Callithrix jacchus: one gene and its partners. The protein of the gene in region 3 interacts with the protein of the main gene of each other region in a biochemical or structural test. Links are inferred from orthologs where the notes say so. Each region holds a gene or a part of one and is shown on either strand. Other genes may lie near its edges.

Region 1 (7,551 bases), on a different chromosome or scaffold from region 3:
AAGAACAGTGCCTGGCACAAATTAGTTACTTGACACTGAATGAATTAATCTCCCTCCATCATCTACTTCCCAGGGGCTAGATCCAGTCAGAGGTCAAGAAGAGGGGGCTTGTTAGAAGTTAAAGGTCCTGCAGTGTAGGGCTGAGGGCCCCACAGGGTCGTGGTGTGTCCCTTATGCTGTGCTGAGGTGCAGGATCCAACAAACAAAGAGACAGGACACAGAAGTACAAGGAAAATGGAGCTGGGCTCAGGGGGGCCCTAATGTCCAGAAGTGTCAGTATTTATTGTGTATAGGTTAGGAGGCAGGGCAGTGAGTGAAGTCATCTTCAAAGATAGTGATAGGATTGTGAGCAATAAAACAAGGGGTCCATCCTCATTAGGTCACCTAGGCTATGAGGTGGACAGTGTGCAGCAAGATGTCCACCCCCATTAGATCACTGAGGCATGGAGGTGGGCTGTGCGCAGTGAAGAGGGTGCAGTGTGCACTACCTCTACCTACGGGCAAGCTACTTCTAAGATTTGTGGGAGGATGCTTTAAGTCACACAGCAGTGACAGAGCTGTCAGGGTTACCGCCACCTGTTGGCAGCTTCCAATGAGTTCTATAGGAAGACGCTTTTTGGGCAGCACAGTAACAAGAGCTAATAAAGTTCACAGTCACCAAGGTACAATTATCCGTAGGGGTTTTGAGCCCTTGAATGGATGCTAGAGGGATTGCCGGTCTGAGGGCAGCCTTCCACAAGAAGACGCGAGGTCCTACAACTCCTTTATCAGGAGGAGTGGCTCTTGCCCCAAGCCTGCCATACAGTGGGTATCTTAATGATACTGAACACTGCCCCCTGGGCCATGGATTCTTGTCCTGGTATAACTGTTTTTCCCTTAAATCATGCTCGGCACTGTCTGCTCCAGACATTCCTCTGACTATAAGCTGCTTATTCCTTAATTCATGCTCTGTACCGTGTCTACTCCAGGCATTCCTCCAATTATGAACTAAGATATAGTTATATATATATATATAAATGAGTGGTGAGATATTCTTTAGGCACTCATTCTATGAACAAATATATGATTATATAGAGAGAATTATATAAAGAAATAACTGAGTAGTAACACTATAAACTGAGATATTCTTCAGATCTTAATTGTGCCAGGATTTTGCTTAGTTCTCCTTCCTTGGTGCCTATGTGGGGGGTTATCCACACTGAGGCCTCTTTCTCCATTGAACAAGTGAAAGGTAGTGAAAAGTAGATGGCTTTCTACCATAGGTCTGTGGGAAGTAGAAAAGTTCCCTTTTAAAGTTTCCTTGCTTATTAAAGAGTAAGTGTGCTAATAACTCTTTGTTAAGCCCTATCCTATGTAGTTGTTAGACATGCCATGCTTATAGGCAGGTAGTATATTCTATGTTCTTGTATTTCAACCAAGATATCTGTGCTGAACCAGGCATATCCCAGCTCTCCATTGCTTTTACCTATTTAGAAAAGTTTTAAGTTGTTACCCAATCGGGTTTTAATTTAGATTGTGAGGTCTGGCTCCAGCTAATGAAGATCAGACACAGCAGTAAGGATGACCCCAAATGCATAAGGGATAAATTTGTGTGTTTTCCTTTGTTCATTGTATTCTTGTGGCATGAGCTTCCTGCAGACCAGGAAGTAAAAATTGCATTGCTGAAAAATCCTTTGTCTCAGTGCTAAGTTTTCTTTGCAGCACCGAACATCTATTTCCAACAGATTTTAAGAACCCTAGAATGACACTGTCACATTCTCTCAGGGAGGTCATAGCTGTGGGAACTGTGAACATGCTGACTCATTTAAATGTGTCCTACATAAATCAACATCAGATGAGTTCTGATTTACAAGACTGCCAGGCAGGCCTGTGAGCCTTCTGGCAAAACCCGTCCCATGCATTTGTGTAGCCCCAGTTCTTCCACATAGTAAATGCCCAAGAAGCTACAGAAGAAATCGTGTGTGAGCCCACAGTCCTCATTCCTTATGATGGGGCTGCAATTACCAATAAGTTGTGAGCGTTAAATGGGATGAGGAGTCACAGTATTATTTGCTTGTTAGGGAGGTTTGAGGGCAGGCCCCTCTTCCCTCTTCAAATTGGAATCACCCAAAGAGTTTTAGTAAATACTGGGCCCATCCAGAGTTAATTCTCTTTTAATTGGTTTGGGGTGCTGCTTGGACAGGTGAACTTTTAAAATTCTATACTGAGCCACCAGGACTGACATGAGAACTATTTGTTTGGAGTCTGTCAGAGGAGGCTCCAGCTGATCAGAACCTTAAAGTTCATATTCTTTTTCATTTCCCCATTGTCGCTGAAGCCTTCCCCCTACACCCCTACCGTCCCTTCGAACACAGCAGCGAATTTTTGGTAAAACTGGAAAGTTATGCAAGCGTGCCTACACGCGTGCACACATGCGTTACCAAAAAATCCGCGTGCAGCTTTCCACGTCCCAGCGCCCAGCGCTCCCACCTGCAGCTGGGTCCACTGCTCTGCTTCTCCCTCTCTGCTCCACTCGGGGCGCCGTGCCCCACCCACGTGCCCCACCCTCCCTCACGTCCCGCCCCTCGCCATTCCCTTCCCCGCCCACGTGCCCCACCCTCCCCCTCGCTCCGCCCCTCGCTGCTCCGTGTCCCTCCCAGGGGCACCATTCTACCCCCACCTCGCTCCTCCCCTCGCTGCTCCCTTGCCCCGCCCACGCGCCTTGTCTCGGTCCGCCCGGTCTGGATCTCAGCCTCGCCAGGCCCTTTGCCCGGCCCGCCCCGCCTTCTCCTCTCGCGAGGCACTCCCGGGGCCGGAAGTGCTTGGAGCGCGCGACAGCGGCAGGGCGGGGCGGTCTGGAGGCTGCGGCGCGCCGCCGGCAGAGGGAGGCGAGAGGCCGCTGGGGCCGTGTTGGTCGCCGGTGGGGACTCTTGCAGGTACCGCCCTGGTCGGGGCTTCTCGCGGAGGGCCAGGAGCTCCTGCCGGCCTCTGACTGGGGTGTCGTTGCAGGGCCGTCCCCATGTTGCGTTTTCCGACCTGTTTCCCGTCCTTCCGGGTGGTGGGAGAGAAGCAGCTCCCGCAGGAGATTATTTTCCTGGTCTGGTCTCCCAAGCGGGATCTCATTGCTTTGGCCAACACAGCGGGCGAGGTAAGTGAGCCGGTGGAACCCGCCTGGGCTGGGTCTGCCCGCTGGGGGCCCAAAAACACCGAGCCTGTTCATTCGGGCCACAGGCGGCCGGAGCCTCAGTTTCCCCTTCTGCAGACGCGGCGGGCCACCTGCTACCCCTTCCCTGCCTCCCAGGACGGCAGTAAACTTTAAGTAATATATGCGAAAGGTGGTGTCTTTGCCATTTTCAGTACTTTTATGGCTAACGTAACAGTTTTCACACAGCTTAACACCGTCAGGCAATTCTGCATCCCCAAGTCTTCTTCACTCATCGCTTTATTAGTTAAATGAACTTTTTAAAAAGCCCACGATGTGCCACCCATTAGCTAGACATAGTGGTAAATTCAGGGCCTGCCCTAAGTTTACTTACAGTTTTAATAGCAGAAGGAAGTAATTCTCGAACTTTAGCTGCAAGACTGTATGCATGTAGCTGACCCAGAATATATATTTAAGAATCTGTAGTCTCTTGTCCACGTTTTATACTACGGGTTGGATGCTAACTTCCACTAAAAACCTTTAAATTGGACAAGGAAGAGATGCATCATTGGATTCCAGACAGAACGTGCATGGGTTTTGTCAGCATTTCTAGTTCACATTAAACTTCATCGAGTTTGTTGTACCAACACCTGTTGTACCCAACTTTCTGCTGAGAATTATTACTTGCCAGCCATTTTGTAAGGAAACCTTCACCTGTGCATCTTTCGGCCTCTGGCTTGAGCATTATCTGGCCAGGTGAGAGTTGTGTAGAGTTAAGTTTGGAAACTAAGTGGTAAGGAAATCTTAGCACCCTGTGGACTACAGCATCATGTTATCTACCATGACCCAGTAGCCAGGGTATTGATGTCTAATTTTTCAGGGCCCTCCATGAAATCTAGTCTCCCTCCTCTGCCGGGATGCTTTGAAACTCTGTCGTGGCTCTAGAGAACAACAGGTGGTACAGCCACAGGAGCAGGAGGAAAGGTAGAAAGGAGGTACATCTGTGCGATCAGAAGGGTAGGCATGATAGTGGGCACTGTTACATCCATTTCTCAGTGAAGGAAGAGGCAAGGGAATTTTCTGTGGGTGAAGATGGAGAAGAAAATATTGCAAGCTTGAGGAGAAAGAAGAGGTCTGAAAAAGCTAACAAGGCAGGTGGACTTGGGAAACCTAAATAGGATTCAGTCAGTGTTAAGAGCACCACAAGATCAGTGTTCTTATTTGAGAGACACTGGTTGAATGAGGTTGTGTCTCCGTTCTGTTTGGCTGTGTGGGTGCAGGTACAGTTGGGTTTAACCAGGATTGTTGTTTAGCAAGAGAAAGATGAAAGAGTTGAAGTTATGTGCAAGGGTAGTGATTTTGTTGATGAACTTTGGGTTCTAACGTGGTTAAGGAGGTAAGTGAGGGCAGGTGTAGGGAGAGGAACAGTGACTAGGGGGTAGAATCAATAGACTGTATATTCTGGTGAGGTCAAAGAATTGGAGTTGAGTGTTGCAGAGATGAGCTGAAAGAGGGGTGGTGGATGGAAGGTGGGAAGGAAATTTGAAATGGAGATTTTGGTGGCCCTGCAGTTGTTGGTAATGACCAGGCTAGGGGTGTGACCCTGGGAGTGGCTAAGTGCAGTAGAAGATGTGATCACTGGAGGTGAGGTAGTTGACAGCTGAAAAGCCAGGACATATAGCTCTTGAAATCACCAAAAATGAGGATGAGTGTGCTGTTAGAAAGCATGAGCGAGCCAGGTGTGCAAATCTTCAAGGAATGAGGGGAATGGCCTAGGGGTCTGTAGAGGACTGCAATCAAGGGGAGAGTGGGTGGTATGGTCTGACTGCATGTGATTCAAAGTTAGGAGGTTTTCAAGAAGAGAAGAAATGGCATTGAGCATCAAGGAAGACACCTGCTTCATCTCCTAGCCCAAGAGGAGCAGTACAGGGTCCGTGGGATACAAAATGGTCACCACCTAGGAAGGCTGCAGGGAAGCCATGTCCTCTGGTGAGAGGCACATTTCCGATAAAAGTATGAAGATTTTAATTTCATGATGCCATCTGACCATGAGCTGCAGAAAGCACAGAGGAAGGGTTTCAGAAGTAAGGAATGGCAGGAATGGTTTCAGAAAAGAGAGGGTCAAGTTGGAGAGATGATGTTACCATGAGTGAAGGGTGCTGTGAGGTAAGGCAGGGCATGGTGGTAAAGCTGAGTGTGGAGTCGATGGAGATCGAGAGGGGTCTTCTAGGAGCACGTGCAGTTGTGAGGCCTTTTCTTCCTTACTGTCAATGGTTGTATAGAAGCTGCAACAGGATCAGTCTTAGAGCTCTTGGGCAACATTTTGACCTTCCAAGGTGGGAATTTACTGTTGTGGAAATGGAGATTTAGAATGGTTAAGTGATTTGTCTAAGATCCATGGCTAGTGTGTGACACAACTGAAATCAGATGCCACGTGGTCTAATTCCAAGCTTAGTATTATTTGAGTATATTACAGCTAGTTACCTTTTTAGTGATGTTTGTGTTCTTTTATTTCTTTTTTGGTTGTCATCTTGGACAGCCTTCCTTCTAAAAGGTAAGTCTCCCGTTGACATAAAAGATGGGAAGATGTATTAGGTACTGGGTGAAATTAGACCTTGTTTCACCCATTTATTTTAAAATACCTTGTGTTCTTGCAGACACTGTTGTCTTTTTCTGTTTTTCTGATAGCTAACTATACTTGAGAGATAGTAATTTTAAAAAAGGTTTTAGTAGGGATCGAGGTGTATTTTATTTTTGGAAATTGATTTTTTTTTTTATTTCCTGCCGTTATATCTGCTTTGTCTTAGGTGTTACTTCATCGACTTGCAAGTTTTCATCGAGTTTGGAGTTTTCCACCAAATGAAAATACAGGAAAGGAAGTGACCTGTCTGGCATGGAGACCAGATGGCAAACGTAATGATAATATTACAAAAATATGTTTTTATTTTCACAAAAAGTATTCTGTAAAGAAAGTCCATTTTCAGGAAGAATTTATTGTTCTTAGTATACATTTTAATTATAAATACCAGTTAGGGGCCTTTTTTTTTTAAAAACATGCCTTAAAATATTTTTATAGAACTCAGATTAATTCTGCTATCTTGTTTCTTGGCAAAGATAACTCTGAGGTGAAATCTGATGGAATGTACAAAATATTTTGGTTTTGTTCTTTCCGCTGTCATCTTGGCCTGTGTTTGGCCCAGGCAGCACCTGCCACTCTCCAGTCAGGCAGTTCAAGGCCATCATGGCCTTTCTCTTTCACAATGGATTTTAGCACGAAATGTGTGGCTCATATTCCCTTGGTGCATATATGTTTGCCTCCCCAGGGGGACTATGAGCTTTGACTCCATACCTTCCATTTCTATGTGATCTTTCTTCTGGTCCCATCCTATGTTATAGGCTTTTATGGCTCTGGTGACAGAATCGTCCTCTTCCATGTGATATTTTTACAATGACCATCCTTATTGGAACTGTTGGACACATATAATCAAAGTGAAGAAAAATGCTGTAAATCCTACAGCTTAAAGTTCATCTGTGTCGTGGGTATTTTAAGAAAAAAGTGACTTGTTTTTGTAAAATATGTGTTCTTTGCTTAATTTTTCTGTAGATAAAGTACTTAAACATTTTATTGACGCTTTAAGAAAAATGAATTGTTTTTGTAAAATATTTGCTCCTCGTTGCTTTTTTTTTTTTTTTTTTTTTTGAGACAGGGTCTCACTCTGTTGCCCAGGCTGGAGTGCAGTGCAGTGCAGTGGTGTGAAGTCCGTTCACTGCAACCTCTGCCTTCCGGGTTCAAGCAGTAACTGCGACTACAGGCGTGCACCATCATACCTGGTTAATTTTTGTATTTTTTGGTAGAGACAGGGTTTCACTGTTTTGGCCCGGTTAGTCTCGAACTCCTGGCCTCGATTCGCCTACCTACTAGAGTATGGGGATTACAGGTGTGAACCTCTGCACCTGGCCCTCATTACTTAAAAATTCCCTGAAAGCAAATCACTTAGAGATGACAATTGTTTCTGTTTTGGTGAACATCTTTTACAACATTTCCTGATAAAGTATATACTTGTAGAGACCTATATGTAGTTTTATTAGAAAAAAGGTCATTTGGTACATGCCATTTTGTTGCTTAGCTTTTTCTTCCCCCTCCCCTTTTTCCCATGTCAGTGTGGATAGATTTACCACATTAATGTTAAATAACTGCAAACTAACCCATTATATTTATATATTGTAATTTACCAAACCTATTCCCCCTTGGCGGATATTTAGAAGCTTTTCAGTTTTTGGCTTTTATAAGCAATGCTGTGTAAACATTCTAAACACCGGGAAGAACTTTGCCAGTAGCTCCCTAAGATTAACTCCCAAAATGGAATTTTAGGAAATGTTTTAAAAATTCTATGCTCATTCTGTAGTCATTTTTCTTGGAGCATATGTAG
Region 2 (7,663 bases), on a different chromosome or scaffold from region 3:
CTTTCTTCAAATTTACGTCAGAGTGCGAAAGACACCAAAACAACTATTCAGATAATTAGCAGTTGTAAAACGTTGCTGTGAAAGGAATGCCGGGTGTTGTGAGAACATAAGGCATGTTATCATTAGAAAAACATAAGACGATTTCCATTTTGGAGAAACAGTATCTATGCTATCCCATCCCTCCTTTAAAAGTATACATGGGAAATAAAATACTGGAATATGAACTAATTTTGGTGGTAGAATTTCTTGTTATTTTTAAAATTTGTGCTATCTATTCTAGTTGTTCTCTGCCTCTCCCCTCCATAACGTGTGTCCTTTTTGAATATAAAAGTTAAAATAGCTGCAATCCCTGCCTCAATAAAATAACTCAACATAATAGAATCTATTTTTTTGTACTAAGAATTTGCAGGCCAGGCGCGGTGGCTCACGCCTGTAATCCCAGCACTTTGGGAGGCCGAGGTGGGCGGATCATGAGATCAGGAGATCCAGACCATCGTGGCCAGCAGGGTGAAACTCCATATCTACTAAACATACAAAAATTAGCTGTATGTGGTGGTGTGCGCCTGTAATCCCAGCTACTGGGAGGCCGAGGCAGGAGAATCACTTGAACCTGGGAGGCAGAGATTGCACTCCAGCTCAGCACAGAGCAAGATTTTGCTTCAAAAAAAAAACAAATGTTAATTTTGCATTTACAGAGCAGTAGATGAAGAAATAGAGTCAGAGTAGCATGCTGGAGCTTTGGTGAACATAGTGTCTTTCCTCATATTTACATCAGAGCGTGAAAGACACCGAAACAACTATTCAGATAATTTAGGAGTTGTAAAAAGTTGCTATGAAAGGAATACCAGGTGCTGTGAGAACATAAGGCAGTAGAGTCAATGAATCACTCAGGTTTTGCTTTTTTCCACTTAAAAACATTCCTGAAATTTGCTTAGGAGTGTTAAGGCCTAATTAGCCAAAACCATCAGGAGAGCACATCTTGAAGAGGAATCAGAATGCTCAGGACAAGAGAGTTCAATCTTAGTCTAAGACTTGAGGTCCCTCTGGAGGGTTCTAAGGAAGGTCTAGGAAAGCGGGAATTGGTTCTGGATGGGTTGCTGTTTGTAAAGCAGGATTAGGAGAAACTGATTAGGGACTAAGTGCTGTTATGAGCGAGGGTGGGTTAGCAAATGAGTATCTCCAGTAATAGAAATAGCAAAGCTGGTCTGGGGGCATCATTACTAAGAAAATAGCCGTTAGTCAAAGAGAGGGTGGTTATAGTTTACAGCTGTTGCATGACCTTGGGAGAAACAATGGTTTCTGCTGTGAAAATAGAAGACACCTTAAGGAGATAAACCTTGCACCCCAAAACCTTTATAGAGAATCTCCACTTGGAAGCTATAGGTGTTGTACAGATTTAGTCTCAAAAACTTAACGCTTTGAGTGCTGATAATATAATATGATGATGCAAAATTTAGGAGCTACAGGAGGAAATAAGGGATGGGGATAAAGAAGACAGTGAAGAGACAATAAAGGTATGCATATTTTTCTGTCTTTCCTCTTTTCTTCACTTAGGTTAGGCTCTTTTCATCTTGATACCTAGTATAATGTCCAGCATTTAATAGGTATTGAATAAATATTTGTGAATGAAGGAATCATTCAATCAATTTTGGTCCTGAAATGCCAGGGAAGAAGAGGTGATGAACTGGCATATATTGAGAACCATGTCTATGTCAGGTATAGTGTTAAACCTTTTGTGAAAGAGTAATATGGAATCAACTCCTCTCTCCCAGCTGATCTGCAGGTTAAAATGTATATATGGTGACCTGTGGGAAGCAGAGTTTGAATGACACAGGTCAGCTTTGATTTTTTGAATTTGTACCTTTATCTTGTAGTTGTTCAATATATTCCAATTTACTATAGAAACAGGAAAAGGTCATCAACTTTTGCAAGCAAAATTTATTTTCATATCTGGGAAACTGGAATTCCTTTTTTATACCTTTATTATCTTTCTGATGTTCTCTTGCTCCCTGGCCAAGCCCTTCCAGGCAGCTTTGGAATATATTCTTGAGATGTTAGAGGTTTAAAATAAATCACTATTAAATGATAGGATTTTAAGGGAAGACTAAATTATGTATTCATTAGAATCATCATTTTGTTCCTAAGACAGATTTGTGATGGTATAATAGAAACAGCATCTTAGCCTGAAGTATTGAGGATAGTCCTAAGATTAGGGAATGATCAGTTTGTTCTTATTCATAAGCATAACAGAATGACTCAAACGCTGCTGTTTGATCTCTCTGTACTTACATTTCTTCTTAATTTTAAATTCTTCTCTGCTAGTATTCTTTAGACCCAACACTGGTTATTCCCCCATCTCCAAAAGTATTTCTATTTATTTTCCATCCTTTCTACAGTGCCATTTAAATAAAAATATCTTAAAGCAACAAAACATTGTTATTGAGCCAGTACCTCAGCCCATGAAGCTTAATAATATGGAGAGCAAAACAAAGCCACCCAAGTTTTTTCAAATAGTACACGATCCTAGTTTGCCCCGCCCCCACCGAAAACGTGCCACGAAGTTTGCAGAAAAAAGCTTTCGGGGAGGAGCCCTGGCTGCTTAGGTCTCTCCATTGGTTCTGCCTGGTGACCACGCCCCCATCCCCGCCTCCTGGGCGGAAGAGCCAATTGGGCCGCGAGTTGTGGTTTAAACCGGGAGTGCGCGGCGTCCGTTCCCTGTGATGTCAGAGGAAGGTGGCTGTTGAGAGCGTTGTGAGTGAACGGGAGGTTCGCGGGTTGGTAGGGCGAACCGGTTCGGGCGGCGAAGGAGGTGGGCTGGGGCTGGGGCTGGGGCTGGAGCTGGGGCTGGGGCTTGGGCACTGCTCGGGGCGCAGCTGGCTCCGAGCCCCTATGAGCGCGGTCTCTGACTGAGAACTGGACTCGCGGCAATTCTCTGAGTGCCAGCTCCAAACAGCCTGCTTCCTCAGGACCTTAGAACCTCTGACTCTGGCTGGAAGATTTAAGAGCTGGATGAAGTACTTGTTGGCTGAAGCCCGTCATTGTATTGCCCCTCTGTTTAGCTCTCGTTTTTGTGTGAACATCCCTGGGATAGAAAGTCTGGACTGTTGCTGTACCTTAGCTTCTCGCACCTTCCCCAATATCTAATATGTATTTCTCATTTTTAGAATAATCCAGAATGGCTACTTTGATCTATGTTGATAAGGAAAATGGAGAAACAGGCACCCGTGTGGCTGCTAAGGATGGGCTGAAGCTGGGGTCTGGACCTTGTAAGTATACAGGGCTGCAGTCAGATACACTCATATTGTGGACGTGGCCTGGAGCTGGACGAGACAATTTAGTGTACTTTGTGGGCAATCAGTCAAGTTTGTTATCGGTACTTTTTCATTTTCAATATCTTAATGAGATGATTTAAGAGTACTGAATCTCCGCTATTAGGTGTATTATAGTCATGCCACTACCAAGAATGGGGCTTGGGTTTGGGGGTGAGAGTTAAGTTTATATACACAGTATTCAAGTTGCACAGGTATTTTGCTGCTGGAGTATTCTTACGGTAAGACTTTTTCTTCAGCAGTCAAAGCCTTAAAGGGGAGATCTCAAGTTTCAACACCACGTTTTGGCAAAACGTATGATGCTCCACCAGCCTTACCTAAAGCTACTAGAAAGGCTTTGGGAACTGTCAACAGAGCTACAGAAAAGTCAGTGAAGACCAGTGGACTCCTCAATCAAAAACAACCAAGCTTTTCTGCCAAAAAGGTGAGTGTTGGCTATAAAGACACTGTTTAAACACTTAAGCACTTTTGACTCTTAAAATGACCCTTGGCGTCATCCTACCTAGCTTTTTTCCCTCTGAGTAGAAGGGAAGTAGAGGTTAGCAAACAGTAGTGGAGGAGACTCATTGTCCTTGTGGCTTCTCGGTACTTTGACGTAGGAAATCTCACGTGCATCTAATGCATATTTTTGCCTCACCTGTTTTTAACTAGTGTCTTGAAACAGATTGGTTGTTATCTACTTACAGATACATATTGAGAGAAGAGGGTAGTTTAGGAGGTTCTGTTGCTGCTATAATAGCACAGGTGCTGCCATTCTCCTAGCCTTCCAGAGCAAGCAGCAGCTTGTTAGATGACAGTTTGCTAGCATGTTGATTTTTGTGAGTGTGGGTCACAAGCTACAGGCCTGTGTATCCCAGACCCAGAGGACTTTGCTGTGAAAGATGAAGTTAGCATGTGGATTGACACTTTATTTGAAACACTTTTTCTTTTTTTAAATTATATATATTTTAAAGAGACGGTTTCACCATATTGATCAGGCTGGTCTCCATCTCCTGACCTCAGGTGATCCACCCGCCTTGGCCTCCCAAAGTGCTGGGATTATAGGCGTGAGCCACCGCGCCCAGCCTGAAACACTTTTTCTTTCCAGCACAAGTGACACAGAAAAAAGTTTTTTTTTTTTTTTTTTTTAAAAAATTGCATTAGGAAACAACCAGTGAATTACATGTAGTGCAACTTAGGAGGTATTCCTTAAAAGTGAATTAAAAATATTAAATACAGGAATTGCAAAGATACGGGAAAAGCAATAAGAACAGTACCGAAGTGTAAGAACCCCACAGGGAGTTCTAGGCATGCATATGTGAGGTGAGATAAATCAGGAACCTGCAGGCTTCCACTGTGGCACGCTCCTGTAGTAGATTGTAGTAGACCTGTCAGCTCCTTGTCCATGGTGTTTTTATAAAGTCTTGACAGTGTCTTGCTGCCTCTTACTCAGTGTGTTTATTTGAGGAACACAAACTTGTTTTTAATATTAACCATGCAAATAATTAAGGTAACACGGAAAAAATCATACTCCCATAAGCCAAAAATGGTTTTGATGATTAGCTACTGACCTGGGTGATTCATGCCCATTTGCTCTTCTGTTAGGTTGAATAATTGTGTTGATTAGCTCTGAATTAACTCTGCATTCTTGATAACTTATGCTGACAGGGGCTGATACTTAAATTTCAGATTTAAATTTTAAGTCATGCTACTCGAATTACATTTAAATCCTATTGAAGTATATTTAGGTGTGAATAGGAAAACTAAGGATTATCTTCTTAGAAGGCAGCATGAAATTGACAAATTTAAAAACTAAATAGCTGATAATACTTCCTCTCACTAACTCATTTTCTTTGGTTGCTCTAGATGACTGGGAAGACTGTTAAAGCAAAAAGCTCTGTTCCTGCCTCAGATGATGCCTATCCAGAAATAGAAAAATTTTTTCCCTTCAATCCTCTAGGTAGTATCTTTTGCAATTGCGGAAACTTGCTTTTGGCCTTTAGTTTCTTAGTATTCAGATCAGCTGTAACTTGATAGGAATATAATGTATGACCAAAAACTATAATGAGACTGTCTGAATCTGGGTTGCTTTGGACAAGTGTACCTGTTGATGGAATTACTTGCAAGGTATTGTCTTAGGTCAGGAGGGGAATAGGAGCAAAGATGTAGAAGACATTGTTTCTCTCTGTAAAAGCTTATCACCCAGAGGAAGTAAGATCTATTCATGAACATTGAGTGATTTACTGTGTACAGTCTTTCTCACAAGGTTTTTAGAAAGCGAGCTTTATGTCAAGTTGAGCAGCGCCTGAGAGTACTTTGGTAGGATTATTTCTTTGGTTAGAAAATTCTACATAAAACAGTGAAGACATGTTTTTCAGATTTCAGTTTTGCTTTTTTTTTTGTTAACTTCCTGTTTGTTTTTTTCTTTGATTAAAGAGCTCTTTGTAGATAAAATTAGCTTCCCTTATGTATAATGCAGACTTCTTTCCTCTGGAGTTTTTTGCCTGTTTATAGTTTCCTTTACAATTCAGTGGTTTTAAGTTAAGTAGTCACATATCATTCACTTCCTTTTTGACTTCTGGGTTTAACCAGGCTTGAAAAAGAGCAGACTATTTTTTTTTTTTTTTTTGAGATGGGAGTCTTGCTCTGTTGCCCAGCCTGGTGTGCAGTAGCACAATCTCGGCTCACTGCAACCTCCACCTCCTGGTACAAGCAATTCTCTGCCTCAACTTCCCTAGTAGCTGGGATTACAGGCACCCGCCACCACGCCTGGCTAATTTTTATATTTTTAGTAAAGATGGGGCTTCACCCCTCCCCACCACCAGAGTGCTGGGATTACAGGCATGGGCCACTGTGCCAGCCCAGAGCAAACTTAATTCTTGAGTACTTAGGCTTTAGAGAACTTTCACACCTAAGGACAAAGATGAGGAGAGCTATGATTTTCTAATCTTTTGAGAAAACACTTAATCTCCTTGAAAAGAAAATTCAGTATTAAATTATACTTTTGTTACTGTACAAAACAATTGCTTGTTTTAAATATTTGCTAAGATACAGTGACTCATGCCTGTTATCCCAGCACTTTGGGAGGCCAGGGGGCAGGGGTGGGGGTGGGGGTTGTCACTTGAGGTCAGGAGTTTGAGACCAGCCTGGCCAACATGGTGAAACCTCCTCTCTACTAAAAATACAAAAATTAGCTAGGTGCGGTCGCAGGTGCCTGTAATCCCAGCTACTTGGGAGCTGAGGCAGGAGAATTGCTTGAACCTGGGAGGTGGAGGTTGCAGTGAGCCAAGATCATGCCACTACACTCCAGCCTGGGTGACAGAGCAAGACTCCATCTCGGAAAAAAAAAGTTGCTAAGAAGTAAGGTACTTGGATTTTAAGAAGGAATGTTACCTAACACAGTGGTTCTCAATTTATTTTTGGTTTGACACTCTTAGAAATTATTAAAGACCACTTTTGCTTATGTGATCTGTTCTTTTCTGTATTAGAAATTAAAACTGAGAAACTTAAGATATTTATTTGCTAAATCACATTACATTAATATACATTTTTTAATATAAAATGTTTTTTGTTTTGGAAAAGTTTTGAGAAGAATGGCATGGTTTATATTTTTGAAAATTTGCTTTATTTGTCTTAATACAAGACAACTGGCTTCTTGTCAAATTCTGTATACAATCTTACATCTGTTTTGGTTGAAATATACAAAGAAAACCTGGCCTCACACAGATATGTTTTTAAGAGTCTTTTCAGGTAAATGTGGATAGTTTTCTTTGCCACTACACTAAAACTCACAAGTGGCTGTTTCTGAATATGTAATTGCAATGGGGAATCCAAAACCCTATCAATGAGCATTTTGTATTTTGAAATTAAGTTTGTATTTTGACAGTAAAATCCATTAGTCTATTTTGCACTTGGAATGTATCTCTTATTCTCACATCTATCTTGCATTGATCATTCAGAAATATTGATTCACTGAGATATGTAGATACCCCACGTTGAAGTGCTTTATTATACAATATTAAAAGCATTAATATCACAACTGATCTCATCAGAAAAGTCTAAGGCACCTGTCAAGCTAATTACTGCAGATAAGTTTTCTGAGATTCCTTTTTTGGCCTGACGTAGTGGCTCACACCTGTAATGCCAGCACTTTGGGAGGCAAGGTGGGCAGATCACCTGAGGTTAGGAGTTCAAGACCAGCCTGGCCAACGTGGTGAGACCCTGTCTCTACTAAAAAAAAAAAAAAAAAAAAAAAAGCTGGGCCTGTAATCTCAGTTACTTGGGAGGCTGAGGCAGGACAATCACTTGAACCCAGGAGGTGGAGTTTGCAGTGAATGGAGATTGTGTCACTGCAC
Region 3 (6,950 bases):
CCAAAGCAAGCGGATCATCTGAGGTCAGGAGTTTGAGTCCAGCCTGGGCAACATGGTGAAACCCCATCTCTACTAAAAACACAGAAAATTAGCCGGGCATGGTGGCAGGTGCCTATAAGTCCCAGCTACTCAGGAGGCTGAGGCAGGAGAATTGCTTGAACCCAAGGGGTGGAGGTTGCAGTGAGCCAAGATCATGCCACTGCACTCCAGCCTGGGTAACCAATACTTCATCTCAAAAATAAAAATAAAAAATATAAAAAAAGAAATGGAGTCATAAAAAGCTGCTTCTAGGCCGGACGCCGTGGCTCACGCCTGTAATCCCATCACTTTGGGAGGCTGAGGCAGGCAGATCACGAGGTCAAGAGATTGAGACCATTCTGGTCAATATGGTGAAATCCCATCTCTACTAAAAATACAAAAATTAGCTGGGTGTGGTGGTGTGCGCCTGTAGTCCCAGCTACTCATGAGGCCGAGTCAGGAGAATTGCTTGAACCCAGGAGGCAGAGGTTGCAGTGAGCTGAGATTGTGCCATTGCACTCCAGCCTGGGCAACAAAAGCGAAACTCTTGTCTCAAAAAAAAATTAAAAACTGCTTCTAGGGCCAGGTGCTGTGTCTCATGCCTGTAATCCCAGCACTTTGGGAGGCTGAAGCAGGCAGATCACTTGAGGCCAGGAGTTCGAGACTAGCCTGGCCAACATGGTGAAACCCTATCTCTACTAAAAATAGAAAAATTAGCTGGGCTTCGTGTTGCACTCCTGTAATCCCAGCTACTTGGGTGGCTGAAGCATGAGAATCACTTAAACCCAGGAGGCGGAGGTTGCTGTGAGCCCAGATTACACCACTGCACTCCAGCCTGGGCAACAGAGGAAGACACTGTCTCAAAAAAAAAAAATTTTTTTTTTAAAGCTTACTTTAAATCTAATAAATCCTTTTCATCTTTTAACTACTCTTTGAGGTACTATAATTGTAATTCAGTATTTGTTTTTATGTATTTGCTTTATTGTACCTCTTTAGATATGTAGTCATTTTCTTCCGTTGAAGGATTTTATTTTATTTTATTTAGGAGATACGGGTTTCACCATGTTGGTCAGGCTGATCTTGAACTCCTGACCTCATAATCCACCTGCCTCGGAGCTCCCAGAGTGCTGGGATTACAGGCATGAGCTACCACACCCAGTCCAAAAAAAGATTTCTTTAAAGTAATGATTCTCAAAGTATGGTCTGGGAACTTCTGTGAGTCCCTAAAACCCTTCCAAGGAGTCCTAGAGGTCAAAGCTATTTTTACAATAGTATCTTGACATTATTTATCTTTTTCATTCTGTCCCAAATGGACAGTAGAATTTTTCAAAACTTACATAATACATGATATCAAAACATTAAATGGAGAAGCAGATAGATGTGAGAATCTGGCCGTCTTCTATGAACAGACTTGCAAAAGTGTTAATGCCACTCTTCTCAGTGACTTTTTGTTCTGAAAAATTATATAGTTATTTTTCATTAAAAAATAAATGACCGGGCTAGGCACCAGTGGCTCACACCTGTAATTCCAGCACTTTGGGAGGCTGATGCAGGCTGATCACTTGAGGTCAGGAGTTGGAGACAAGCCAACTTGGCGAAAACCCATCTCTACTAAAAATTCAAAAATTAGCAGGTATGGTGGCATAAACCTATAATCCCAGTTACTCAGGAGACTGAGGCAGGAGAATTGCTTGAACCTAGGAAGCGGAGGTTGCAGTGAGCGGACATTATGCCATTGCACTCCAGCCTGGATGACAGAGCAAGACTCTATCTCAATAAATAAAAATAGACTGACTGACAGGTAGATAGGTAGGTAGGTAGAAAGATAGATAGATATATAGGTAGATAGATAATCAAAAAGCAAGAATTGTCACCATCTGTGTATTTCACAAAGGGGTGTGTGTGTGTGTGTGTGTGCATTTAGTGTACTAGAGTACCTGCCATTTCTTAGTACCTATTGTCATATAAGTATGCATTTATTTTCACAACAATAAGAACTGATGCAATAAGGAAGTATATTGGTTAAGATTTAGTTAGCTTAGGCCGGGCACAGTGGCTCACACCTGTAATCCCAGCACTTTGGGAGGCCGAGGCGGGTGGATCACGAGGTCAAGAGATCGAGATCATCCTGGTCAACATGGTGAAACCCTGTCTCTACTAAAAATACAAAAAATTAGCTGGGCATGATGGCACGTGCCTGTAATCCCAGCTACTCAGGAGGCTGAGGCAGGAGAATTGCCTGAATCCAGGAGGCGGAGATTGCGGTGAGCCGAGATCACGCCATTGCACTCCAGCCTGGGTAACAAGAGTGAAACTCCATCTCAAAAAAAAAAAAAAAGATTTAGTTAGCTTTTATGAAGATGATTTGGGAAATCGAATAAGTAAAAATACTTGCTTGGTCAAAACTTCCAAACATTTTGCTACTTTAAGGTTTTTCTTTGCCTTTTTCAGTCTGCTTTACAAGAACTTGAAGAATTGAAACAAATTGTTCCCAAAGAATCCCTCGTTTACTTCTTAATAGGAAAGGTAAAGACTGGGGCCATGGTCCCAAACTGTGACTTTCATAGCAAATATTGACATTGTATATTTTATAAGAATGAATATACTTACTGTATAGTATCTATTGAGCAAATTCAACTAAAACTCCAAACTGAGTGCTCTGGGAATAACAGATTTAGTTCTTAACACTTAAGAAAATTATATCCTAGCTGGGCATGGTGTCTCATGCCTATAATCCCAGCATTTTGGGAGGCCTAAGTAGGTGGATTGCCTGAGGTCAGGAGTTCAAGACCAGCCTGACCAACATAGTGAAATCCAACTGCTACTAAAAATATAAAAAATTGGCCGGGTGCAGTGGCTCACGCCTGTAATCCCAGCACTTTGGGAGGCCGAGGCAGATGGATCACAAGGTCCAGAGATCAAGACCATCCTGGTCAACATGGTGAAACCCCATCTCTACTAAAAAATACAAAAAATTACCTGGGCATGGTGGCGCGTGCCTGTAATCCCAGCTACTCGGGAGGTTGAGGCAGGAGAATTGCCTGAACCCAGGAGGCAGAGGTTGCGGTGAGCTGAGATCACGCCATTGCACTCCAGCCTGGGTAACAAGAGCGAAACTCTGTCTGAAAAAAAAAAATATATATATATATATGTAATTAGTTGGACATGGTGGCACTCACCTATAATCCCAGTTACTCGGGAGGCTGAGACACGAGAATCACTTGAACCAGGAGGCAGAGATTGCCATGAGCCAAGATTGCACTGCTGCACTCCAGCCTGGGCGAGAGAACAGGATTCTGTCTAAATAAATAAATAAGAAGAACATTAATGGCACTGTGTTGTATTGATTAGGAAAGATGGCTTCTGAGATTCCCAAGGCCAGACTAGTCAGTTTTTTACAGACTGGCCCCCCCAGATGCCAATTAGTTAAGGTGCCTGTAGACAGTTGTTAAGAGTTTATATATATAACTCCATTTAAAATCACCATAAATGAAAGTTAATTAAGCAGTTTATTATTCGTTTAATCCCATTATCATTGTTCCAGTCAGAGTGATATTTACTGGAAACTTATTACCTGATAGAAGCAAGAAATTCTGAAAATAACATCTGATTATATTAAAAGGAAAACAAAAGCTAGTATGAGTTCATCTGTAAGATGAAAGTGTTCTACCCTTAGAATGAGTTTAGAGCACGTACACCAGGAGCCTAATATAAATTATAAATATTTAGAATTTTAGGGGCCAGGCGCAGTGGCTCACACCTGTTGTAATCCCAGCAGTTTGGGAGGCCAAGGTGGGTGGATCACCTGAGGTCAAGGGTTTGAGACCAGCCTGGCCAACATGACAAAACCCTGACTCTACTAAAAATGCAAAAATTAGCTGGGCTTGGTGGCAGGCACCTATAATCCCAGCTACTCAAGAGGCTGAGGCAGGAGAATCACTTGAACCTGGAAGGTGGAGGTTTCAGTGAGCCGAGATTGTGCCTACTGCATTCCAGCCTGGGCAACAGAGTCCATCTCAAAAAAAATAAATTAAATAAATAAATATTTAGAACTTTATAGTTGAAGCTCACAACTTAATGAAAAATGTAGTGCTGCTGTTTATTTTTAGGTTTACAAGAAGTTAGGTCAAACGCACCTCGCCCTGATGAATTTCTCTTGGGCTATGGATTTAGATCCTAAAGGAGCCAATAACCAGATTAAAGAGGCAATTGATAAGCGCTATCTTCCAGATGATGAGGAGCCAATAACCCAAGAAGAGCAGATCAGTAAGTATCATACATGTGATTTTGAATATTTAGAAAGTTACCTTTTTGCATAAGGATTTGTAGGATACTCTTATTTTTCTAACCATGGTGTTTTCATTATACCAAATTTAGGGAAATTGAACAGGGTGATGTAATAACGAAATGCATATAGAGTCAGGTAATTAGTCTGTTCTGGATCCAGTTTGCTGTATGACTTTGACAAATTCATTGCTAATTTTTACCTGGGCCCTCAATTTGTGTTTGAATATGTAACCAGTACTGTTTTATCTGCTTCATAAGAATGTAGTTTTTTAAGGAAGAGGATAGAGAAATTTCTGATAAGATAAATTCTGATGAGATGCCTTTGTTCCAGAAAACTTGGTGAAAGGCTTTAATTAAAATTATAAGCCGGCCGGGCAGTGGCTCACGCCTGTAATCCTAATACTTTGGGAGGCCGAGGTGGGTGGATCACCTGAGGTCAGGAGTTCAAGACCAGCCTGGCCATCATGGTGAAACCCCATCTTAAAAAAAAAAAAAAAAATTCTAAGCCATGGGGCCAGGCACAGTGGCTCACACCTGTAATTCCAACACTTTGGGAGGCCAAGGTGGGTGGATCGCCTGAGGTTAGGAGATCCAGACCAGCTGGCCAATGTGGTGAAACCCTGCCTCTAGTAAAAATATATAAATTAGCTGGACGTGATGGCAGGAGCCTATAATCCCAGCTACTTAGGAGGCTGAGGCAGGAGAATCACTTGAACCCAGGAGGTGAAGGCTGCAATGAGCCGAAATCACACCGTTGCACTCCAGCCTGGGTGACAAGAGCAAAACTCTGTCTCAAAAAAAAAAATTATCAGCCAGGCAACATTTTGGCTTGTGTATGTAATCCCAGCTACTCAGGAGACAGAGGTGGGAGGGTTGCTTGAGCCTAGGATTTCATAACTACCCTGGGCAGATAGTGAGAACCTGTCTCTAAACAAATTTTAAAAATTAGCTGGGTATGGTAGTATACATCTCTAGTCCCAGCTACTTGAGAGGCTGAGGCAGGAGGATCATACCACTTGAGTCCAGGAGTTTGAGGCTGCAGTGAGATGTGATTGTGCCACTGCACTCCAACCTAGCTAGGTGACGGAGCAAGACAGATATATGGGGTGGTGAGGGGAGGAGATTCCCTATTTGAAACCGAAGTTTATAGTCTATGTTTCTATGGACTAGCATGGAGTATCCTTAAAGAGGACTCCGCGATTGGAGGTTGGGGGAAATGTCAATTTTTTTTTTTAGTATCTCAGAGAACTAACTAGTTGTAATTCCTAGGGCAGGAATAAGGAACTCATTAGGGAGAGGCAGTTTGGGTAGTTAAAACCTTAAAGGTAAAAATGCAATAAACTAGTATCAGACCTATTATAAAATTAGGGAACTTGAATTCTGTTTTACTATAGGATATGAGGATTTTTAGGGGCCTTTAGTTAGAGTTTTATCTCTCTGAATATAATACAGTTTTTCTTACTTGTTTTCATGAACCAAGAAGATATATTTGTCAGAAACCTTACTGTAGACTTTGGTTTTATTTTTAAAGTGGGAACAGATGAATCCCAGGAGAGCAGCATGACAGATGCGGATGACACACAACTTCATGCAGCTGAAAGTGATGAATTTTAACTTCTGGAAATCAGACTTTTACAACTGGATATGTGACTAGTGCTGACATGTTTCTTGTCCCTCCATATATACTGAGTCTTTACTCTTGAGCCGACTCTGAGTCATGATCCATCACTTATACCATGAGTGTGCCACTTTCATTGGACCCTGACTGTATACAGAATGAAAGGCAGTGCAATATATAGCTGCTAACAAGACTGGCTCTTTTACCAGTATGAATGACAATTTACAGGGGGTAGAGTGGGGAACTTTTGTTTTTCTTTAATCTCCCTTCGTTTGAAAGCTATCATGGAAGGAAGAGTTATGTTTTATCTTGAAGGAACCATTAGATATGGAAAATAGTGACGGACCAGAATTTCTTGGTTGCTTTTTCAAAAATTTGTTTTTATTTGGTCCTGTTCCTGATAAACAGAGTAACTGACCTTCATTTATAGGTTCTTCAAGAATGGTGTTTGCAAGTGCCAGATGGAACAATAAAAGACATTGCCTATAACAGTAACTTGATTGCCAAGGAATGTAAATTACCTTAAACTTGCAGTGTCTCCTATAAACAAATGTAATGGGCATATTGGGACTCGTATGTAGGAATCAAATATCCCTCCATACAGTGTACACCTATTCTTGGCAAGAATGCTTTAATGTCTGACTGAGGATTTTATTCATCTTGCTTCAAAGTGTTGATCATTGTTGTCTTGGTATTGCAAACTTTAAAATTGGTTCTTACCATATTGCCTCTTCTCTTTGAGCTCTGTGGGATCACCTTTAACATTCAGAGATGATAGAGTGGTTTCCCACTGAGTAGCCAAAACAAGGCCCTTAACAACCACTTAAGTTCACCATATCAATCAGAGTAAGAACACTAAAGTGGAGAGACTTTTAAGAGATCCTGATAGTGAAAGCCTTAATATAATCAGAATTGTACCATAACCTTGAATCTTTATTTGTTCAAGACATTATCCCTTTGACTTTTCGGAGTGTTTAAGCAGAGTGAAGAATGTGTGGTTACCCTTGGGTGAGATCATTTCTATTCT
Region 4 (7,151 bases), on a different chromosome or scaffold from region 3:
CAAGTAGCTGGGATTGCAAGCATGCACCACCAGGCCCGGCTAATTTTTTAAATATTTTTAGTAGAGACAGGGTTTCTCCATGTTGGTCAAGTTGGTTTCGAACTCCTGACCTCAGGTGATCCACCCACCTCAGCCTCCCAGTGCTGGGATTACAGGCATGAGCCACCATGCTTGGCTAAGAGCAGGTATTATTTAAATGACTAATTAGAAAAACAATCATGGTAGACCACTTAGTTCATTATTCTAATAAGCCTGTTGATCTGGTCCTCCCTGTTGCCAGCATCTCCACTTTCTACAAAATGGGTGGTCTTTTTCTTCATTCCACCTTGTGGAAAGGATAATCTGAAGGATCACAAGAAGTTATTTGCTTCTTTGAAGCATTTTCCTACAGTATAGATCGCATGAATCAGATCTTCCATGCAGGTGATGCCATATTTACCAAGAGATTGAGCAATCAAGGTGTTATCTGTCAAAGCAATTTGCTTCTTACTGATTTTGCCATAACCACACTGGTAGATTAGTTCATTTACTGACTTCAGATTTGGGTACCTCCATGCAATATATCGTTCTGCAATCCTCAGCATGTTAACTGAAGCCTTGTTAAGCTTCACAAAGGTTCCACTGAAGATTTGACAAAGGCAAAGAAGCTACAACAGCTTTCAGACCTTTGGGCTCAGCATCGATACCTCTGATCCTGATGACAAACATCACTTTGGGTTTTGCAGGTACATAGAAGTTGCCAGCTTTTCTAGCCATCCTTGCCACGTGAATTTCAGTTCTGTCCATTTGCCTATATTCCTTGTGATAGTGCTTTGCTTTTTCATAGATAAGCGATCTTGCTTTTTGAAGCATCTTTTGGGCAAATTTCTTTCTCAGGCCATTGATCTTTGGCTCTGCGAAATTCCTTTGCATTTTAAATTCTGGCCTAGTAGGAACCTTCTTTTTCTTCTCTACAACACCCTAAATGGTTCCAGCCAGAAAAGAGGCTTTTTTTTTTTTTTTTTTGAGACTGAGTCTTGCTCTGTCACCCAGGCTGGAGTGCAGTGGCGAAATCTTGGCTCATTGCAAGCTCCACCTTCCAGGTTCCGGAGATTTTCCTGCCTCAGCCACCCAAATAGCTGGGATTGCAGGCACATGCCACTACACCCAGCTAATTTTTGTAGTTTTAGTAGAGATGGGTTTCACCACATTGGCCAGGCTGGTCTCGGACTCCTGACCTCAGGTGATCTGTCCATCTTGGCCTCTCACAGTTCTGGGATTACAGGCATGAGTCACCACAACCAGGATTTTTTTTTTTATTGAGACAAGGTCTCACTCTCCTGCCCAGGCTGAAGTGCAGTGGCTCAATCTCAGCTCACTGCAGTCTTGACCTCCTGGGCTCAAACGATTTTCCTCTCAGCCTCCCAAGTAGCTGCGACCACAGACATGTGCCACCATGCCAGGCCAATTTTTGTATTTTTGGTAGAGAAGGTTTTGCCATGTTGCCCAGGCTGGTCTTGAACTCCTGAGTTCAAGTGATCCGCCCACCTTGGCCTCCCAAAGTGCTGGGATTACACGTGTAAGCCACTGTGCCTGGCCAGATGTTTAACTTTTTGACGAACCATCAGATCGTTTACCATAGAGGCCAAACCATTTTACATTCCTACCAGCAATGTGTAAGGATTCTAATTTCTCCACATCCCAATTTGGCTGGGCATGTTGGCTCTACTGTAATCCCAGCACTTTGGAAGGCTGAGGTGGGTGGATCATTTGAGGTCAGGAGTTCGAGACCAGCCTGGCCAATCTGGTGAAATCCCGTCTCTACCAAACAATACAAAAAAAAAGAGAAAATATTAAAAATTAGCTGCGCATGGTGGTGGGTGCCTGTAGTCCAAGCTACTTGGAAGGCTGAGGTGGGAGTATTGCTTGAACCCAGGAGGTGGATGTTGCACTGAGCTGAGACAGCACCACTGCACTCCAGCCTGAGTGACAGAGTTAAGTCCCTGTCTCAAGAAAAAAAAATTTAAGAAATGCTATATAATTTGCCCTAAATAGAAGATAATGATGAATTAAATATAAGTCCCTGACTTTGTCTTGAGACCTAGACATTTTTAAAAACTGCACTACAACATAAGGCACAGAGTGAATATTTATTTATCACAGAGGTCAAGCCTAAGGTCTAATTTTATAAGTTCTGGAAAAGCAGGCCAGAAAAGTACAGAGGCTTGCCCAAAGTCAAAGCTAAAGATCCTCCCAGAGACTGAGAGAGAGAAAAATGTTTGAGTAGCACTCTATAACTGGACTTTCATATCTACTCACTCTAAGCATCCCTTCAAGTTCCTGACCCCAAAGTAAGAATCCCAGTAAGAAAACAATAGAGATGGTTTCCAAATAGGAGGTAGGACACCGTGAGTACCAACAAGCAATAACAGTCTGGCTAAAGATAGCTGCCACTTAAGACATCTGAGCATGAAACAAGCTCATTTTAAAATGGCCATTTAATAAATGCATGCAAGAAATCTGCTCTTGTAGCCCCTAAATCTATACAAATAAAAACATACAAGTAGAGATAAAATAAAATGGCCATTAAAAAAAAAAACAAAAACTCTGTGGTCCCAATTGCCTTATCTTTTCATTTATTCATAAATATTTCTGGTCCCACCCTATGTTCCAGGACAAGTCATATCAATATACCCCAATCCTTTCTAACGTCCTAAGTTCTTTCTTCCAAATATCTTCTAATATTTTATTTAATGGAGGTAAAAGGGTAGTGGAGGTCTCAGGTGGATGACATCTCCAAAGGGGAAAGGACAAAGGCCTCTGGCTTGGCTTCCTGCTTCAGCACTCCAGTCAGCAGGAACTCAGGTGAGAGGAGGGGCAGCCCAACCCGTCGTGGAACAGAGCATCGAGGGAAGTCCTGGGAGCATGTGATCACAACTCTCTGAGGCTGGGGAAGACAGAGCAAAAACAAAATTAGGGGTGAAAAAGAATCCTAAAAATGGGTTCTGGACCCACTAACCAGTCTTAGTATCACTAAAATAGTACCTCCTAATATGAAGCCACGTGAAGCATACTGCAAACTGTCTATAAAATATTCTTGCTAGAGGTTGGGCATGGTGGCTCATGCCTGTAATCCCAGCACTTTGGGAGGTCGAGGTGAGTGGATCATGAGGTCAAGAGATGGAGACCATCCTGGCCAACATGGCGAAACCCCGTCTCTACTAAAAATACAAAAATTAGCTGGGTGTGGTGGCGCATGCTTGTAGTCACAGCTACTCTGGGGGCTGAGGCAGGAGAATCGCTTGAATCCAGGAGGGGAAGGTTGCAGTGAGCAGAGATAGCACCACTGTACTCCAGCCTGGCAACAAAGCGAGACTCAGTCTCAAAAAAAAAAAAAAAAAAAGAAAGAAATACTCTTGCTAGAAAGATGAAATCAATTTATTCAAGCTTTTACAATTATCTACAATTTCCAGGAATATGGAACACAGAGGAACAAGATACAACAAGGAGGCAAACTCAAAAATCCATACTGAGGAACATTCTAAAGGAAAAGTGACCCAGTTTCTGCAGGAAATTGATGGTATAATAAAGGCTGGGTGAGTTAAGGAATGCTCTAGAGTAAAGAGAATTCAGAGGGTAATAGATGTGGCAGTATGTGGACCTTATTCGAATCCTGATTTGAACAACTGTATAGAGACATTTTTCAGACAACAGGAGACATTTTATTTATTTTATTTTATTATTATTTTTTTTTTGAGATGGAATTTCACTTTTGTTACCCAGGCTGGAGTGCAATGGCGCAATCTCGGCTCACCGAAACCTCCGCCTCCTAGGTTCAGGCAATTCTCCTGCCTCAGCCTCCTGAGTAGCTGGGATTACAGGCACGCGCCACCATGCCCAGCTAATTTTTTGTATTTTTAGTAGAGACGGCGTTTCACCATGTTGACCAGGATGGTCTCGATCTCTTGACCTGGTGATCCACCGGCCTCGGCCTCCCAAAGTGCTGGGATTACAGGCGTGAGCCACCGCGCCTGGCCGGGAGACATTTTATTAATGGAGTGTGAGCAAATAATCAATAAACTATTGTTAATTTTGTTTTGGATCAATAATGTCACTGTGATTATGAAATAAAATGTACACATTTCTTAAATATGTATACTTAAGTATGTAGGAAGAAATAATATAATATTGGCAGTTTGCTTTAAAATACTTCAGCAAAAAAAAGGAAAAAAAGAAAGAATAAAAAAAAGAAAATACTTCGGCAAAGAAAATCAAAGGAAAAAAGAGATAGATGGAGCAAATGTAATGTAATCTAAACTAAGCTGCTGATTGATGATTGTTAGGGGTATCAGCAGATCTCTCTCCTCATTCCTATCCCTTTCTATACCATAGGTTTTTCCCCCACCCTCTCTCTACTCTATATTCCTTTCTGTACCTCCATTTCCCCCCCCAACCGTTGCCATTCCAGCCACCTCTTTAACTGCCACTGCCACCTCACCCAGACCCAGAGCATCCTAACTATACCTTATAGGACCGAGGCATGCTGGGTAGGACAGTGCCTCCACAGCAGCTGATGATCTCTCCCATCTGAGGTGGTGGTGGCTGGACTCCAGGGGTCACATGGATCTCATAGCCCTAAGAGAAAGAAATGGTGGAGGCAGTAGATGTATGTTGGGAAGCACTGGAGGGAGGGTTGAAGCACCAATCAAAAGATAGCCTCTCACCTCCAGCAGCCTTCGCTCCCGAGCCCGGCTCAGAGCATCTTGAAGGCTAAAGCCAAAGTTCTTCTCTTGCTCAGGATCAGTCACCACATATTCATCCGGGGGTAAGAAGCAACCAGCCTTGCGGGACTAAGGATGGCAGCAGTCAGCATCAAAACTCAGCCCAGCCCCTCACCCAGCTCTGCTGCCTAGCATTTATAGAGAGCTCACAAAATATCTTTTAAATAAATTCAGGCTCCTGCCTCACTAATGTCTCTGTCTTCCTGTAACTCCTCTTCCTCCCTACCATTTTCTAGGGTGCTACATGAGCAGTCTTGTCACTATATTGGTCTGTCATCATCTCTTGGCCTCTCACCTGATGCAGCCAGTCCAGGGAGAGAATGGGGATTCCCCGCCCCAGGGCACACAGGAACTTGACTGTCCGGCGGATTCGATCAGTGACCAGGTGGGAAGCCTCTGCCGCTGAATCAGCCAGACTTCCCCCCAGTGCCAGCACGGCCCGCTCTCCCTGGGCATCCACCACTCCTGTGAAGAGCACCTGTGGAAGGGTTGGCCTGAGGTGGTCACAGCAACCTATGCCATCAGCATCTCTACAGTCCCCGAGGTCTCCTTGTATCCTCCCCTCATCTCTGTCTCCCACAAAGTCTCATGCCCTTGTCTCTTACTTTGGGGGCTGTTGATTCCCGGGTAAATTTGGTCCGTCGGAGGCTGCGGCTCTGTATGCTATTGGGCTCCTCCTCTGCCTGGTCTCTCTTTTTCTTGCCTGGTTTTGGAGTCATGACATCCTGAGATAGAGAAAAATCTTAGTGGGAGTTTCAGAGCCCTGAAGCCCTTTTTCCCAGCTTTGTGGTCCCAGCCTTCTCCTCACCTCTTCTTTCCCTGGCTTCTCTGTAGTATCTTCTAACTCTTCCTTGAGAAACACTGTCTTCTGGGAGACTTCTCTTCGGGGCTGTTTTTGAAGTGGTGGTGAATCCGTGGTAGCAAAAGCCCTCTTGCGGCTTTGAGAGACCTTAGGCTGGGGCTCTGAGGTAAACCTAGATCTACCTACTGCTTCCACCTTTTGGATCTGGGAGGCATGAGTTGGTGTCTCAAGAAGCTGGAAAGAGGCAGGCTCAGGAATGGCTGTAAGGGATTCAGCTTCTCTAACTGCTCCCCATCTTTGGTTCCTTGAGGCCTGGGATTTAGTTTCCAGGGGTGCAGAGCAAGGCTTATGGTCAATGGGAGTTTTGAGGGAGCCAGGATTCCCAATGACTCTCTGCCTCTTGCTGCAACTAGCTTGAGGAATAGGCTCAGGGGAAATAGGCTGATCTGTGGTAACAGGGGACTGGAATTCAAGGGTGGTAGGAACGGACACAGCACTTACTATAGAAGACCTCAGTGTTTTGCTCTGACTACCCTGAGCTATGGCCTCAGGGGTGACAGGCAGGTCTGTGGGGATAAGAGGCTCAAGATTAGAGGCTGCTGGTTCAACTGGTTTGGGAGTCTTGACAGAGGACCTATTTACTCTTCCTCTAGTGGCTCTAGATGTGGGCTTAGGTGTGACAGGCTGGTCTATGGAGGTTGTAGGAAGGGGCTCAGGGGCTGTGGGGACAACTGGTTCAGGGGTCCTGACAGAAGACCCATCTGTCCTGCCCCTAGTGGCCCTAGATGTGGGCTCAGGGGTGACAAGCTGGTTTCTGGAGGTCGAAGGCTGGAGCTCAGGGGCTATAGGGACAACTGATTCAGGGGTCTTGACAGAGGACCTATTTGTCCTGCCCCTAGTGGTCTGAGATGTAGGCTCAGGGGTTACAGGTTGAACTGTGGAGGCAGAAACCTGGAGCTCAGGGGCTGTGGGTACGACTGATTCAGGGGTCTTGACAGAGGACCTGTTTGTCCTGCCCCTAGTGGTCCGAGATGTGGGCTCAGGGGTGACAGGCTGGTCTGTGGAGGCAGAAGCCTGGAGCTCAGAGGCTATGGGGACAACTGTTTCAGGGGTCTTGACAGAGGGCCTATTTTTTCTTCCCCTAGTAGCCTGAGATGTGGGCTCAGGGGTGACAGGCTGGTCTGTGGAGGCAGAAGCCTGGAGCTCAGAGGCTATGGGGACAACTGTTTCAGGGGTCTTGACAGAGGACCTATTTTTTCTTCCCCTAGTAGCCTGAAATGTGGGCTCAGGGGTGACAGGCTGGTCTGTGGAGGCAGAAGCCTGGAGCTCAGAGGCTATGGGGACAACTGTTTCAGGGGTCTTGACAGAGGGCCTATTTTTTCTTCCCCTAGTAGCCTGAGATGTGGGCTCAGGGGTGACAGGCTGGTCTGTGAAGGCAGAAGCCTGGAGCTCAGAGGCTATGGGGACTACTGTTTCAGGGGTCTTGACAGAGGACCTATTTTTTCTTCGCCTAGTAGCCTGAGATGTAGGCTCAGGGGTGACAGGCTGGTCTGTGGAGGTGGAGGCCTGGAGCTCAGGGGCTGTGGAGA

Evidence for each region.
Region 1: the proteins of CDC27 (region 3) and ANAPC4 form a complex in vitro, tested with the Homo sapiens proteins (2 studies listed by BioGRID). The link is inferred for Callithrix jacchus from reciprocal best matches to the Homo sapiens genes CDC27 and ANAPC4.
Region 2: the proteins of CDC27 (region 3) and PTTG1 form a complex in vitro, tested with the Homo sapiens proteins (3 studies listed by BioGRID). The link is inferred for Callithrix jacchus from reciprocal best matches to the Homo sapiens genes CDC27 and PTTG1.
Region 4: the proteins of CDC27 (region 3) and MDC1 form a complex in vitro, tested with the Homo sapiens proteins (2 studies listed by BioGRID). The link is inferred for Callithrix jacchus from reciprocal best matches to the Homo sapiens genes CDC27 and MDC1.

The regions. Positions count from the first base shown.
Region 1 is NC_133504.1:168,460,990-168,468,540, reverse strand, and holds the start of ANAPC4 (anaphase-promoting complex subunit 4), read left to right. Parts: upstream 1-2,803; 5' UTR 2,804-2,915; intron 2,916-2,988; 5' UTR 2,989-2,998; coding exon 2,999-3,127; intron 3,128-5,928; coding exon 5,929-6,034; intron 6,035-7,551. UniProt on the Homo sapiens protein: Component of the anaphase promoting complex/cyclosome (APC/C), a cell cycle-regulated E3 ubiquitin ligase that controls progression through mitosis and the G1 phase of the cell cycle.
Region 2 is NC_133503.1:23,231,879-23,239,541, forward strand, and holds the start of PTTG1 (securin), read left to right. Parts: upstream 1-2,717; 5' UTR 2,718-3,014; intron 3,015-3,164; 5' UTR 3,165-3,175; coding exon 3,176-3,266; intron 3,267-3,568; coding exon 3,569-3,753; intron 3,754-5,174; coding exon 5,175-5,268; intron 5,269-7,663. UniProt on the Homo sapiens protein: Regulatory protein, which plays a central role in chromosome stability, in the p53/TP53 pathway, and DNA repair. Probably acts by blocking the action of key proteins.
Region 3 is NC_133506.1:86,997,718-87,004,667, reverse strand, and holds part of CDC27 (cell division cycle protein 27 homolog), read left to right. Parts: intron 1-2,469; coding exon 2,470-2,544; intron 2,545-4,127; coding exon 4,128-4,284; intron 4,285-5,836; coding exon 5,837-5,919; 3' UTR 5,920-6,950. UniProt on the Homo sapiens protein: Component of the anaphase promoting complex/cyclosome (APC/C), a cell cycle-regulated E3 ubiquitin ligase that controls progression through mitosis and the G1 phase of the cell cycle.
Region 4 is NC_133505.1:35,494,082-35,501,232, forward strand, and holds the end of MDC1 (mediator of DNA damage checkpoint protein 1), read right to left. Parts: coding exon 5,569-7,151; intron 5,486-5,568; coding exon 5,366-5,485; intron 5,239-5,365; coding exon 5,056-5,238; intron 4,830-5,055; coding exon 4,704-4,829; intron 4,615-4,703; coding exon 4,504-4,614; intron 2,927-4,503; coding exon 2,759-2,926; 3' UTR 2,111-2,758; downstream 1-2,110. UniProt on the Homo sapiens protein: Histone reader protein required for checkpoint-mediated cell cycle arrest in response to DNA damage within both the S phase and G2/M phases of the cell cycle.